Linked DNA regions of Styela clava. The protein of the gene in region 1 purifies or fractionates together with the protein of each later gene. This does not show direct contact. Links are inferred from orthologs where the notes say so. Each region holds a gene or a part of one and is shown on either strand. Other genes may lie near its edges.

Region 1 (6,530 bases):
AGAGTGTTACATAAGTGTATCCTCAGATACCAATGAGCTTGCAATTAATGGAAATGGTCGAAAGCCTCAGTATGGTATGAAATGGTAAAATGCCTAAACAGTATACGGAATAGGAGTTGGAAAAAAAGTATGAATTAATCGTCTCATCATGTATAAATTAAAAACTCTTCTCGGGAATGTGCTAAATTCTAAAATATGGAACAAATAAAATATTCTAACTAGCTTACATAATGCAACCAAAAAAAATCAATACAAAAATGCAAAATAAGGTGACTATTGCATATCTTGATTCATAAGTACTAACCCATGAATCTTGAGTTGTTAAGTGCTTCAATGGCATCTCTCGCATCATCTTCATTGTCCATATGAACAAATGCAAAGTTCCTGATGATATCACAACTTCTCACTTTCCCATATTTTTCAAATATATCAAGAACATCAGCTCTTGCACAATCTGATGGTATGTTACCAACAAATATTTTAACCATATTGAAAGGCTACTATACTAAACTTCAAATTCTGAAATAGAAAATCACATTTTATGTAAAGTAAGGTAGAAATAGAAAGGGCAAATTTTTTTGAGGCGACAAACTTTTCCTCCCAACAGAAAGATAATACACAAACATACGGAAAACATACATAAAATTTAGAATATTTCGTGGCTGCCATAGTCCCCCCACTTCATTAGAGAGGATTAATTAGACAAATATTGTAACAAATGGGAAATCCAATATTCGTATAAATGTCAATCACAATTAGTCGGTCTTAAACAAATGTCACTAAATTTGATGATTATCGTACTATTGTCTCTCTCATTGATAGCAAAATTATATTGTTTCCTGCTCAGTTTAAATTAATAACTCAGAAAGGGAGGTAAAAACAGGTTTCTTCCAAAATAAATTAGTTTATTGTTAAAAACAATATTTCAATTTGGTTACTCATATAATATAAAAATGTGAAAATGAAATGAAAATCTGAATGTGAGAGAATTGATGATTTTGGAAAAATTGAAACCATTTGCTACTTATGCAACAAACACAAAAAATCACTAAAAACAGTTTGCCATTGTATTTCAATGACAAAAAAAAATCTGGTAATATGGGGTTACAGATATATTATTTGAATTCTTGTGTCCCAGGTTAGGGTTGAATCCTACTTCTTTACTAAATAACATTTATATCTCCTCCAATTCATGCAGAGGCACTGTTACTGAAAGGTTTACAGTAAGTCAGTAACGGTGCTCCCGAAGTATGCGAACCAAGATGGCGGACATCGGAACGTAACATGGGTAACAGGTTAGGGTTAGGCGATAATTTTTTTCCAATTTTCCTTATTTTAGTCCTATTAACAGTTCGAAGACTAGCCAAGAGCCTCCCGTAGTATTTATAGCTAAAATTATGGCCTAACCCTAACCTAGTACGCATATACATTCCGATGTCCGCCATCTTGGTTCGCATACTTCAGGAGCCCCTCAGTAACAGTATTATCACAGTGACATTTTATGATATAGTGACTCCTTTATGTAAGATTACTAGCACAAAGTTGCCTGTTTGCCATATCTTTTAATAGTGCCATTCCAGACGAATAACGCTCTTCATTTTCTGCAGATTTTGCAATCCATTTCTCCCGAACATTTTTCCAATGTTGTAAATGATTTAATAGCAATGTTTCTGCTCTAGGTATAACCTTGTTTTGCTGCAAATAATCTTCCAGTCGATCGCTTGGTTGAGGAATGGGTGATGGGATACGTGCACTCACATATTTTCCATTAGGACTAAAATTCTTAAATGGTGTATTAGGGGGTGGAATTGTAACCGGCTCATCAGAGTTTCCATCATTGACGGAAGCCTCATCAAGATCATCAGATGGAATACCATGTACCTTTCTTGTGTATGGATCATTACTCATCCAAGCTCTACAGATTGGATATAACGGAGTATCTTCTGAAAATTGGGCCAGATCAACGCTTCGATCAAATAATTTCATAACACAAGAGTTTGCTTTCTGTTTTTCTTCTTTATTGTCATCTTTTCTTCGACGTTTGCGTGTGGACCTGGAACTAGATTTTTGAGGACTTTCGCTATCAGATATTGTTTTATTTTTATCTGATTGTAGCAACATGTTTTCAATGTCATTTATTTTATCACTGGCAGGAGACGAATCTCCAGCATTAGCCTTTGCTACAATGTTTTGAAGTACACTATCCAAATCCGCTCTTGCTTCATTAAAATCAAGTTCTTGTTCATAAGAATATTGAGACATCTTCATTTGTGAATCTTCTTATCAGTACCGTAATACCTGTAAATGGTAATATCAAGAACCTGAAACCAGTACAGCAGTAGTGATAATTTTTTAAATAATTACCATGTTCGAAAATTGGGGCCATGTTCATAACACGACGTAAGTACCTCTAGTTAACATCACACAGCCATTTTTGCATGGTATTCCTAACCCCCAGTCATTAAAAAATTACATCACTACGACATCACAGTAACGTGATGAGGCCCCCCAAACTATACTAACTACCATCCAAGACGCGCAAATGATTACCCGAAATCGAGCAAGCTATTTCTCGTCGTAACGATTATGATATGAGAGAGATCGCTAGCATTAGTGAGTTCATTATCGTTGGCGAAGATGCTATTTCGGGCAATCCTAGCTAGACTATACTTTGGCAAGCTCCTTGGCATCAGTACGGCACACTATACAGATCGAGAGACATTGTCTCGTTTCAGAGAAACCCATTTTACCGATGATCAAACACCCCTCCTTTGGGAGACGTCTGGACATTGTTGTCCTTCAATATCGATAATAATACAGTATAATGAAGTTGCGCAAAATACTACAAAAAAGCCCAATCTAATAACGTCATCGTTGAATTCCCCAGGAAAAAATAAACCGATTTACAGAAGGAAAATTTTTTTTACTGTGGCATTCGAGAAATTTTACCAAAAAACATCACGAAACATAAAGATAAGTATTGAGACAGGCATGGCGTGATATGAAGATCTGACGTGGTGCCAGACGCCCCTCATTTGTGAGACACATGGAGTGTTTGCTCTATTGAGCCAAATTCTTGGAATCTGGATAGTGTGCAGTATTGGGCGTGATTGTGAGGTCGTGGTGACGTAACCAATGGCGAAACCAGGAATTACATGTGCAAAAATGGTTGTTCCATACCAAATAGAAGGACTCACGGCATTTAGTGAACATGCGTCAAATTTTCGGGTCTAGTATAGTTTAGTACCATATGTACTTCCAGTGGGCGTAGCATAACGAATTTTGCATATGTTATTCCCAAACCTGTAACCCCCACCTGACTATGTCATCCAAAAATTGCGTCACTACGATATCACAATCACGTCATAGAGCGTGCCGAAGTATAGCTACGATCGCCCGTAATGGCATTATCGGCGCCGATAACGAACTCACTAGAGCCAGCAACCTTTCTCATATCGGGATCGTTGCGGCGAGAAAAATAGCTTGCTCGATTTCGGGTGATGATCATCCGTACACCTTGAGGGCTTTATTACGCTACTGGGACATGGTAGTGCAGTAGTGGCGTAATTTTTATGTGACGAAGCCAGGTGGGGGTTAGGAATGACATATACAAAAATTGTTGAGCCAGGCTAACTAAAAGCCTGGAAGTGCACGTGGTACTAAACTATACCAAACCCGAAAATATTCGGGTCTAGTGAAGTAAACGCCGTAACTGCTCAAGTAACGAGTGGAAGTGGTGACTCCTCTTCGGCCCATGGGCCACGGCCCATCAAATTGGGCCTCGGCCCATCAGGCTATGGGCCGCGGCCCATCAAGTTGTGTAAAAAAACTATTCACTTGGCTAACACAAACAGTCCCCAAACTCATAATAGAACTATAATGTAAAAAATCTGAACAAAATTTTGCCCAAACCCTAACCTGGTACACATACTACAGGAGTTTATTTTTTGGTTCGAATATTGACAATTTTGGTAAGATAATTAAATTTTTCCTGGCCTTCCTTTTTTTTTAAATTTTTCCATGTGGCCCAATTAGATGGGCCGTGGCCCCGACCCATGGGTCGTAGAGGAGTCACCACCCCTGTAGCAAGTAACGCCTAACAAAATTGTGATGTGAAATGAACGTCGTACCGCACGGGTACTGCTCCCGTATCGAGTTGTCTTCCTCCCGTTTGTCACATGCGTTTAGCGTATTGTGTTCAGCGTGTGCGCAAGACGGACTTTCATTTTTAGAAAAAATAAATAAATTTGGGTTGTATTTTCACATCATAATTTTGTTATTTGAGCACTTACAGGTACGGTACAACATTCATTTTCACACCACATTCGGACATTTGTGTTGGGGGTATTTAAGCAGGGGCTCTCATGTAGTTTCGTACCTAACGTACTTCTAGTAGGCGTAGCATAACAATTTTTTCACGCGTCAACCCTAACCCCCACCACCACACCATCCAAAAAATACGTCACAGTGACGTAATAGAGCCCTTCAAACTATGCGAACTGTCATCCAAGACGCGCAGACGAGAACGCGAAATCGAACAGCCATTTCTCTCGTCGCAACGATCCCGATAGGAGAGAGACCGCTGGCGTTAGTCAGTTCTTTATCGTCGGCGCCGATGCCATTTCGGGTGATCGTACGAGTATTTGGCAAGCTCTATGACGTGTTGTGACGTAATTTTTGGATGGCGTAGTCAGGTGAGGGTTAGGATTGGCATGTCAAAATATTGTTATGCTACGCCTACTAGAAGTACGTTAGGTACGAAACTACACGAGACCCTTTAAGCTAGGGGTCTCAAACTCAATATACCTGGGGGCCGCCGAAACGGAGCCTTGGTGAGTCCTGGCCGCATCGGGTTTTCCACAATAAAATCATTAAACTTAAAAAGTTAAATCTTTTTCTTTGTTTTTTCTATACGCGAAACATGTCAAAAATATAAATGGAAGTAATATCGCGATGGACCTTTCCCCGAGCATCTACTTCCTTGTTTATTCCGTAACGTGGGCTAATCAGCAGGACGCAAAAAGTGACGTAACAATAGACTTTTCCGCAAACGCTCAGACACTTGTGACTCAGAAAGATTTTCAGGCATGTTTGTAAACATTACCTCGTTTTTGCATGCTATTTGTTAGTTTTGGGTTGTGTTTCAGAAATTCAAGTATGAATCAAAGAACTCAATGATCATTCTGATTGCTTGGGCGTCGTAGCTTAATTGCCGTAATCATAAATTAGTCTAGAAATAGCTGTGATAGACTAGGTTAAATTTCTCTACCGGTACTGTTGAAAAACAGGTTGTTGAATGTTTTGAATCAAATTGATGACGTGAAACATCGCGAAGCCACCTCTAAAATAAGCACCAAGAATTTGTAATGGTGAAGTATAAGAAAATTTTCTTCGGGGTCAAAGGTCCATCGAATATCATGCCTACATGTACGGTACTAGTAGGTTACCGTACCGCATATTCCTTTCGGTGGATAGATTATAAAATATTTTGTTTTGCTCTACTTGTCCTGATCATATATCAAATGCATCAATCATTCTAACTGAGCTGAGTGACTTACGGGCCGCACTAACATTAAACTTTCATACCAAGGCGGGGGCCGCAAACTATCGTCCTGCGGGCCGCAATTGGCCCGCGGGTTTGAGACCCCTGCTTTAAGCAGTTACGGCGTTCGCTTCACGAGACCCAAATATTCTATAAGCATTTATCACTGTATCACATTGATTCACATACCACACCGTTATTCGTCCTTGTTCATATACTGATACTCGCCCGACCTAAACCCACTTTGCATTCGCTTGTCGTTTACCGTACCAATCCCTGCACACAATCACAAAATGTGTTACAGCACTCGCGGCATTTCCCCGGGTGCTAAATAGGCCCCACGCCATTTTTTCCTTTAGAGAGAGAGAGAAAGAGAGATTTATTATTTCGCCAACCAAAATAAAATAACAGTCATCGTAATAATAAATAATAACAATAAATTAGTTTGGTATAGACAAGAGGGAGTGATACGACTAGACGGTCATCAAAGTCAACTCCCCCTATTCACGCAATAATGTTTAAGATTCACAATTTCAAATGACTAAATATAAAGGTGGAACGAACATTCTAGAATTTGATAAATATGATGATCAATTTTTTTATGTTTGCAGAGGAATGTCAAAGTAAGATATGAGACGATTAAATAGCAAACAAAAAATGTAAACAATTAAAACAGTATGAGTTGTTATAACATCAAAATACAATAAGTCTAACATTTTCATTACCGGTATCATAAACCATATTATATTTTTTTCATACCGGTATCGGTACGTACGGGTTCTAACCATTGAGGTGTATATAACTATAGAGGGTTAACATAACCTCAATGGTTCTAACGCGAAAAAATTTTTCAACCACGGCAGCAAACACTGCACCAAAAAACATAAAAAAAAACCACTGGAATAAAGCTGGGAAAAACAAAATGGAGAAAACTATAGATTTTTAAAAGTGTGGATGAAATTAGGAGACTGGATCCTTCAAAAACGTT
Region 2 (6,430 bases), on another chromosome or scaffold:
GATCAAGCTGAAATTTACAATTCAGTAAATTTAGGTGGTACAAAAGAGAGTGAGTGGCACAAGCCCTAGTGGTTGTAGCCTTAGGCTTGAGAGTGCTGGCATCGCAGTTTACACAACTCTGTTTCGAATCTCACAACCTTACCTATAGTGTAATAAATTGAGTAGGTAATGCCAATCCAGATAGATTACGGTCTTCCCAAAAACATTAGCCCCTATAAATGTTAAGTTAAATATCACTGGCTGCTTTAACAGGGCCGTGTTCAGAGCAAAACGCACAAATAAGTGTTGTAAAAAGTTATGAGGGTTACAGAATGATAGATGTCATTCAAGAAATGAGATGGCACAATTATCTATTTATCTGGTATTGTGATTTAAAATTTGTTTTAAAAAAGTTTTTCAGCAATGTGGAAGAATTAGAATAGACTTGTACTCTCACCCGTGACACTTGCTTTCATAACTCTTTGAATAATGGCCTTCATAATATCAGCATTTGGCTATGAAACTTAAACAAAGCTAGAGAACAACAGATAAAATATTGCCTATAAAATTGTATTGAGTATAAAATATAACAGACACAATTTCTGCCACCCAGGCCTTGTATTTAAAACACACTTCTTTGGTATAGAGAAAATCAACAAATAAAGTAAACAATATGAGGCCTGCAGTAACAGCATAGCACAATAATGCAAATAGTCTCATCAGCTTGGTGAGATAGCGAGATATGAGGATTTCGTAATAAAACATGTTCTGCAGGCAACGTCGCTTAAGGCTGCTCTAACTGTCATGAGGATGATGCAATACAAATTTAAAAACCAAGGACACCTTTTAATATCAATCTTAATATCTTTATTTGCATTGGAAGGATATGGAATAAATGATTCTATCTCCACTCTATGAATAGAGAGCTCTATAATTTCAAATTAGAAGCCATCATCATAAACATTCAAATGCTTCATTTTATGAGAAACTATATTTTTGTGCATCACATTTTGAAATATTTAGATTTGGTATGTTAACCAAATTGTCAATGTCTACAATCAACATCGGTATTTAAACAAGTTTCTAATACTCCAAAATCACAGCGCTTTCACAAGCTGGCTGACAAAGATATTACAGTATACAGTGAAAATTTGTTTTGTCAAGATATATGCATTGAAGGTTGCAGCAATCGTCCATGCTTATGTGATAAGCACATAATAACTGATAGAGATAGTCTCATATATTTTTATATCCATATACGATATTAACATACTAAAGCATTTTTTGCATAAAACAGCCCCCTCTCACTAAATTCCAGTATTTTAACATATAAATATTTATGATTTTTCCATATATCAACTCCCAAACAATTTTCCATTTCCGAGAATGTTCAAAAATTTTCCTCTTGTCATTTCACGAGATTCATCTAGTCCTAGTTGATAAGCAAGGTTTTGTAATCCACGAACTTTTTCCAATAAATTTGCAGTTGTTAAACTACCAAATTCCTGTAGCATATCAATATCGTCCTTTTCTAACTCTGCCATCCATTTTGGCGGTGATTTAGGTGACATCGGACTTCGTAACGCAGACATAAAATCTGACACACTCGACAATTGTTCTGGCCATAGATCTGGAGAAGCTCTATCAAGCTTTTCAAAGCTCATCAACTGTTCGTCGATATCATTTGGTTCAGATGAACTGGCCATGCTTTTAATATATAACTAAAACTATGTCCAAAAACTGAGAAAACAATTTAATTCAAATCACATGTTGTAATAGGCAGATAATGCATAGTACAAAGCTTACAAGTACTACCTAGTACTCTAAAATGATTTTGTTCAAATTTTGTTAAAAAAGCAAAAATGAATCCGATTTAAATACAAAATATTCAACGAATAGCGAGATATCTTGTTGCTACATTGGCTATCGATTGTTGAAGTACTTGGTGTTCAATTTCAATATTTGTCAATTTCATTCCTCTCGATTTCAAAGCAACTAGTATTTGTACAAGAAGCATTACTGGCAAAATTAGTCTTATTGTTCAATAAAAATAGCACTTTTTTTGCAGTTTTGTTGAATAACAGCATTCTAATTTACTCATCAGGTACGAGATTCAATACCAAATGGAAAAAAACAATCTTGTCAGACTTCTATTGAAAAGGGCACACAAATAAAATTTTACATAGCACTCTTGTCTAAAATTATTGAAAACATGCATGAATACTTGCTAAAATACTTGAAGGAAAACATTCTAATTTACTGCTTTGCTTGATGCAGGAGATGGAATATGACTTGTGCAATAACAAATACAAATATTGCTTCATAAAAGAAATTGGTTCAGTTAAAAATACAACTTTGATGAATAATTTTGATCAGATGCCAAAAAATTCTAAAACCCATTTGGTTATCATCGCAAACAAGTTTGTTTTTATTTATTATAGAATTATGTGATGAACCACATTGCATGCAAAAACAATATGCAGGATAAGATTTTGACCGAATGGAAAAAATGAATAAATAAAAACATTATGCCTTTAAATACTTCGAAAACATTGCGCAATAAAATATTATCTCTTCTAAAATAACTACAACAGTCCATGTATAAGAGAGTGTATTTCATCTGCACCCGATTGGTCTACTAATAAAAATTGGAAGTTTTTTCAGCCATCCTTCGACTTTATTGCTGCTTTTTCATAGAATTTTTAACATATTCTTCAGTGGCTTTCCAGTAATAAATGATTTGAAAAGATATTACTGCATTTGCGATTGTAGAAACTATATATGTAAGAATAACAATGTTGTCTCCAGTCTCTTGTATTGAAGTGAAAATTCTGGCAGTTGAACCAATGAAAGTCAGGAAAACAGTTATAGCCGACAGCTGTCCAGTGTGTCCATTTTTAATGCTTTCAGCTGCCTGAATCATCTTTGCTATAACTATGGCAGGCATGTTGCTTGCTTGAAGCGCTGCAAGAACATTTGTGGGAGTGATACCAGATACCAATACGAACAGTATGACGGAGTAAATTACAAGGAAGACGATGGCCAATTGAGGTTTACCTCGGTAGTATTGTACCAAGCAGGCTATAATTGTGACTTGGATGAGCAAAAAGAATGAATCACCCCATGCACTGAATGGAAAACTTCTAGCAATGCTGTAAGCACACATGGAAGTGATTGCATACAATTCCAACAGTACAGAAGAAAAACTCATTCCCACCGCACTTGATGACTTCAACAACTTTTGAATTTGAGGTACTTTTACAAGAACTGCTCCCATGATAATACCATATCCTAAGCATTTGCTGATCACTGCTTTCAGACATGGTACGTCGAGAAAATTGAAGTCAGTAAAAAAGATCTCATAACACACAGGAGTCATTAAAAAAGACATGAGACTCCGAAAAGCTTCCATAATGTAAGGTTTTGTCAGTCTAAGTACAGTACTTGATATTAAATTTTTAACAATAAGCTATTAGTTAACTGTATATTGTACAAAAATATTGATCTTTACTACCATTGAACAACTGAACATACAGCAAAGCAGCGCCTATTGTTTACTAAATCAACCATAAAGAGCAGAAGATCATAAAACAGAACTGACTAACGGACAATCAACCCAATCATACCAAAAATCTGTTATAGCTTATAGGCTATGATGCCTAATAAATCAGTACCGGTAAATGCAGAAATGAGTGACAAGTGACATACTGATGTATTGAAACATTCAATATGCAGATTCTTTTGACATCTTTTACTAATTTTATTAGGGCAATATCTAAGATACCTGGATACGTTATCTAAAGTCATCAGAGTCCTCAGCAAATTATCTGTAATTGAAGATAGACGTGCTTGCATCAGAATTTCATTTCATTTATCTTATATTTCAATTGACTATCCGTCCTTTGGAACCCGATATTGTACCGAAAAGTTTATTGTTTCATTTTAATTGATAAAAACACTTTTCATCCCGCCAAACATGACCGCCCTCGTCGCGTTTGTCAGCCGTGTTGCTCAGCAAAATCTGTGACTGCTGCCTTTCAAGTTAACGTTGCATACGTGCCCGCCATGAGTCATGACATGTTATAGTCCGGCAGATAAGGGGACCTTTTTGGCCAAGTTTGATTTCAGATATAAAGTTTTTAGGATAGGAGGATAGGATTTACATATTTATCCCGGGGGGGGGGGGGGGGAAAGCCGATAAGACGGCTTATCCATATGGCGAACCACGGCCTCTCGTCCGGTTACCATTCCAAGTCGGGTATGGGATTAGATTTTACTGTATTGTTTGTTTTCGGAAGCATGGACTTAGGGGTGGAGGAAGCCGTAACCGACCAGCGGTTACGTGAACCACCCACCCAAGGAGTCCAGCAATCCTCTCGCACATAACCATCCCTGCATGGGATTCGAACCTGCGAACCCACGCAGAGTAGTTAGAGGTGCGGTGGCGAGCGTATTCCTAACGCTTAGCCCTTTGAGCCACATCTTTTTTTTATTTGTGATTATTCATCTTGGGGTCATTGCCCATCATTTCTACATGGGTGTGGAGTTTGCAGCCTTGAGCAGCGGCTCGATATTTGTATTATTAGTGTTTTTCGTCAAACCTGTGCATCATAATGACGCACAACCTGTTACAATACTATGTTCAGGTTGTGCGCAATCTTGGTGCACAAACTACGCAAGCACCAAATTTACTAGGAAATAAAATCAATAACTTTTAGGTATTTGTTGAGCCCAGCTTTGGGTCGCGACCCATATACTGTACATATGTAAATACTGTCGAAAGAGAAACATACGCGTAAAATAAAGAGTACTATTTCAAAATACCGGTTTTTGTTGCAATTAACAATACAAGCCTGCTAATGCAGTCGCCAGTGGTTCAAGTTGATATACACCCTGTGGAGAACAGTCAATTATTTGTTAGCGAGAATTATTATGCAGCGGGATGATCACGACGACGCAGTGAAAGATAATGATATCACGAGAACAAGAATGAGTAAATTGCTACATTTTATAGTATATCCCTGGGAAAGAATGTAGTTCATTCTTATGTTCCATGCCAATGCTTTTCAAACTACCAAAGACTCTCAACACTTTTGCTTCTTATCTTCTATAAAAATACATTGTTATATATTATATATTCGCATTTCCATCTGTTTGTTCGTGCTCCCAGATAACCGATCAGCGGCCTCCAAGGAGGACGGGGTCCCCTTTTAAGAAACCCTGTCATAAACTAAAAGAGGCGACCGTGCTTCTCTTGCCTGTTGTCATGCTGTCCCTGGAATTCAGCTACAACAAAAATTTCACGAAAACGGATTTTTAAATTTTATGATTTTATTAATATTCTCAACAATGAATGATATACGGGTGGTAAAATGCCAAGTTATTCCAACAACTTGAACATGTTTTGCAATTTACAATCAATATTTTGTATGTAACTTTGTTTGACAGAGCCCCAAAAGCTCTAACTACAAATATCAAAAATGTGAGGCCAAAATAGTCACACTACAACATTGTCAAATGTGCTGTATTTACGATAGATAACAGGTTTACCAAAAAGAATTACATGAAAAATGGTAAAATAAAGATCAATTCAGCTATATCTACTTGGTGATATGCATCTGTTGATGATTTTATGCGTTTGTTTCGGAAGTTTAATAACAGAATTAATTGTGGTTGTTGGGGATGTTTTGAAAAAAAGTTGCATGGAAAAAAGTTTTCACAAAATGTCAAGGTTTGATAGTAGTAGAGAAGTAGAAAAAATACTCCCATGTTTTTTTTTCATTTGATAACCACGCCACAGAACTTCCCCGATAAGTATACGCAGCAATTGCGAGAGGCAGAAATGCCAAGATGGGATTTCATCGCATTGCAAACCAATATTAGCAATTCTTATATATATTCGCGCATTCCCATTTGAACAGCGTGGAAAAGATTATACCCATCTACACACTTTAAGAACTATGTCAGATGAGCGTCATATTATCGAATATCAGTAAAGGAATAGTACAATGGGAAAAGACATATAAGGCGGAACTTTCAGTAGTATGCAATCAAATAATCTTATTGGACACGTAGTGGACATAACGATCGTTTCAATATTATGTTGTTGTTCTTGTTCTTTGACACGTTTTTAAAAAGTCGCTTTTCTCTTCGAATACTGGACCAATTGCTTTGAAATTTTCAGTGGTTAAAGATTAATTTTTTCGCTAGAAGGCTATTACTTTTGTTTATTCTTAAATTTTATATGAATCCTATGAGATATGATATTTCATACAAAATACTGGCATCACCGATTTAAGGATGTTGGAAACCAACATGCAATATTACAAAACTTACTTTCAACACGCGGTTTGAATGAATGAAAAAGCTGAAACTAGTATTCTTTAGAACAGCATACAAATTCTATAGATTGAAATCATACACAAAAGCTCGTCAAAAACCTATAGCTCAA

Evidence for each region. The genes of interacting proteins can lie anywhere in the genome.
Region 2: the proteins of protein lin-37 homolog (region 1) and protein lin-52 homolog purify together in Homo sapiens (affinity purification with mass spectrometry; 6 studies listed by BioGRID and IntAct, counting the BioPlex papers as one, with this or other methods). This does not show direct contact. The link is inferred for Styela clava from reciprocal best matches to the Homo sapiens genes LIN37 and LIN52.

The regions. Positions count from the first base shown.
Region 1 is NC_135253.1:13,439,534-13,446,063, reverse strand, and holds protein lin-37 homolog, read right to left. Parts: upstream 2,432-6,530; 5' UTR 2,269-2,431; coding exon 1,519-2,268; 3' UTR 518-1,518; downstream 1-517. Other genes in the region: uncharacterized protein LOC120326047, read right to left, coding at 305-488.
Region 2 is NC_135251.1:22,035,190-22,041,619, reverse strand, and holds protein lin-52 homolog, read right to left. Parts: upstream 1,686-6,430; coding exon 1,335-1,685; 3' UTR 514-1,334; downstream 1-513. Other genes in the region: D-aminoacyl-tRNA deacylase 1-like, read right to left, coding at 437-479; mannose-P-dolichol utilization defect 1 protein-like, read right to left, coding at 2,657-3,391.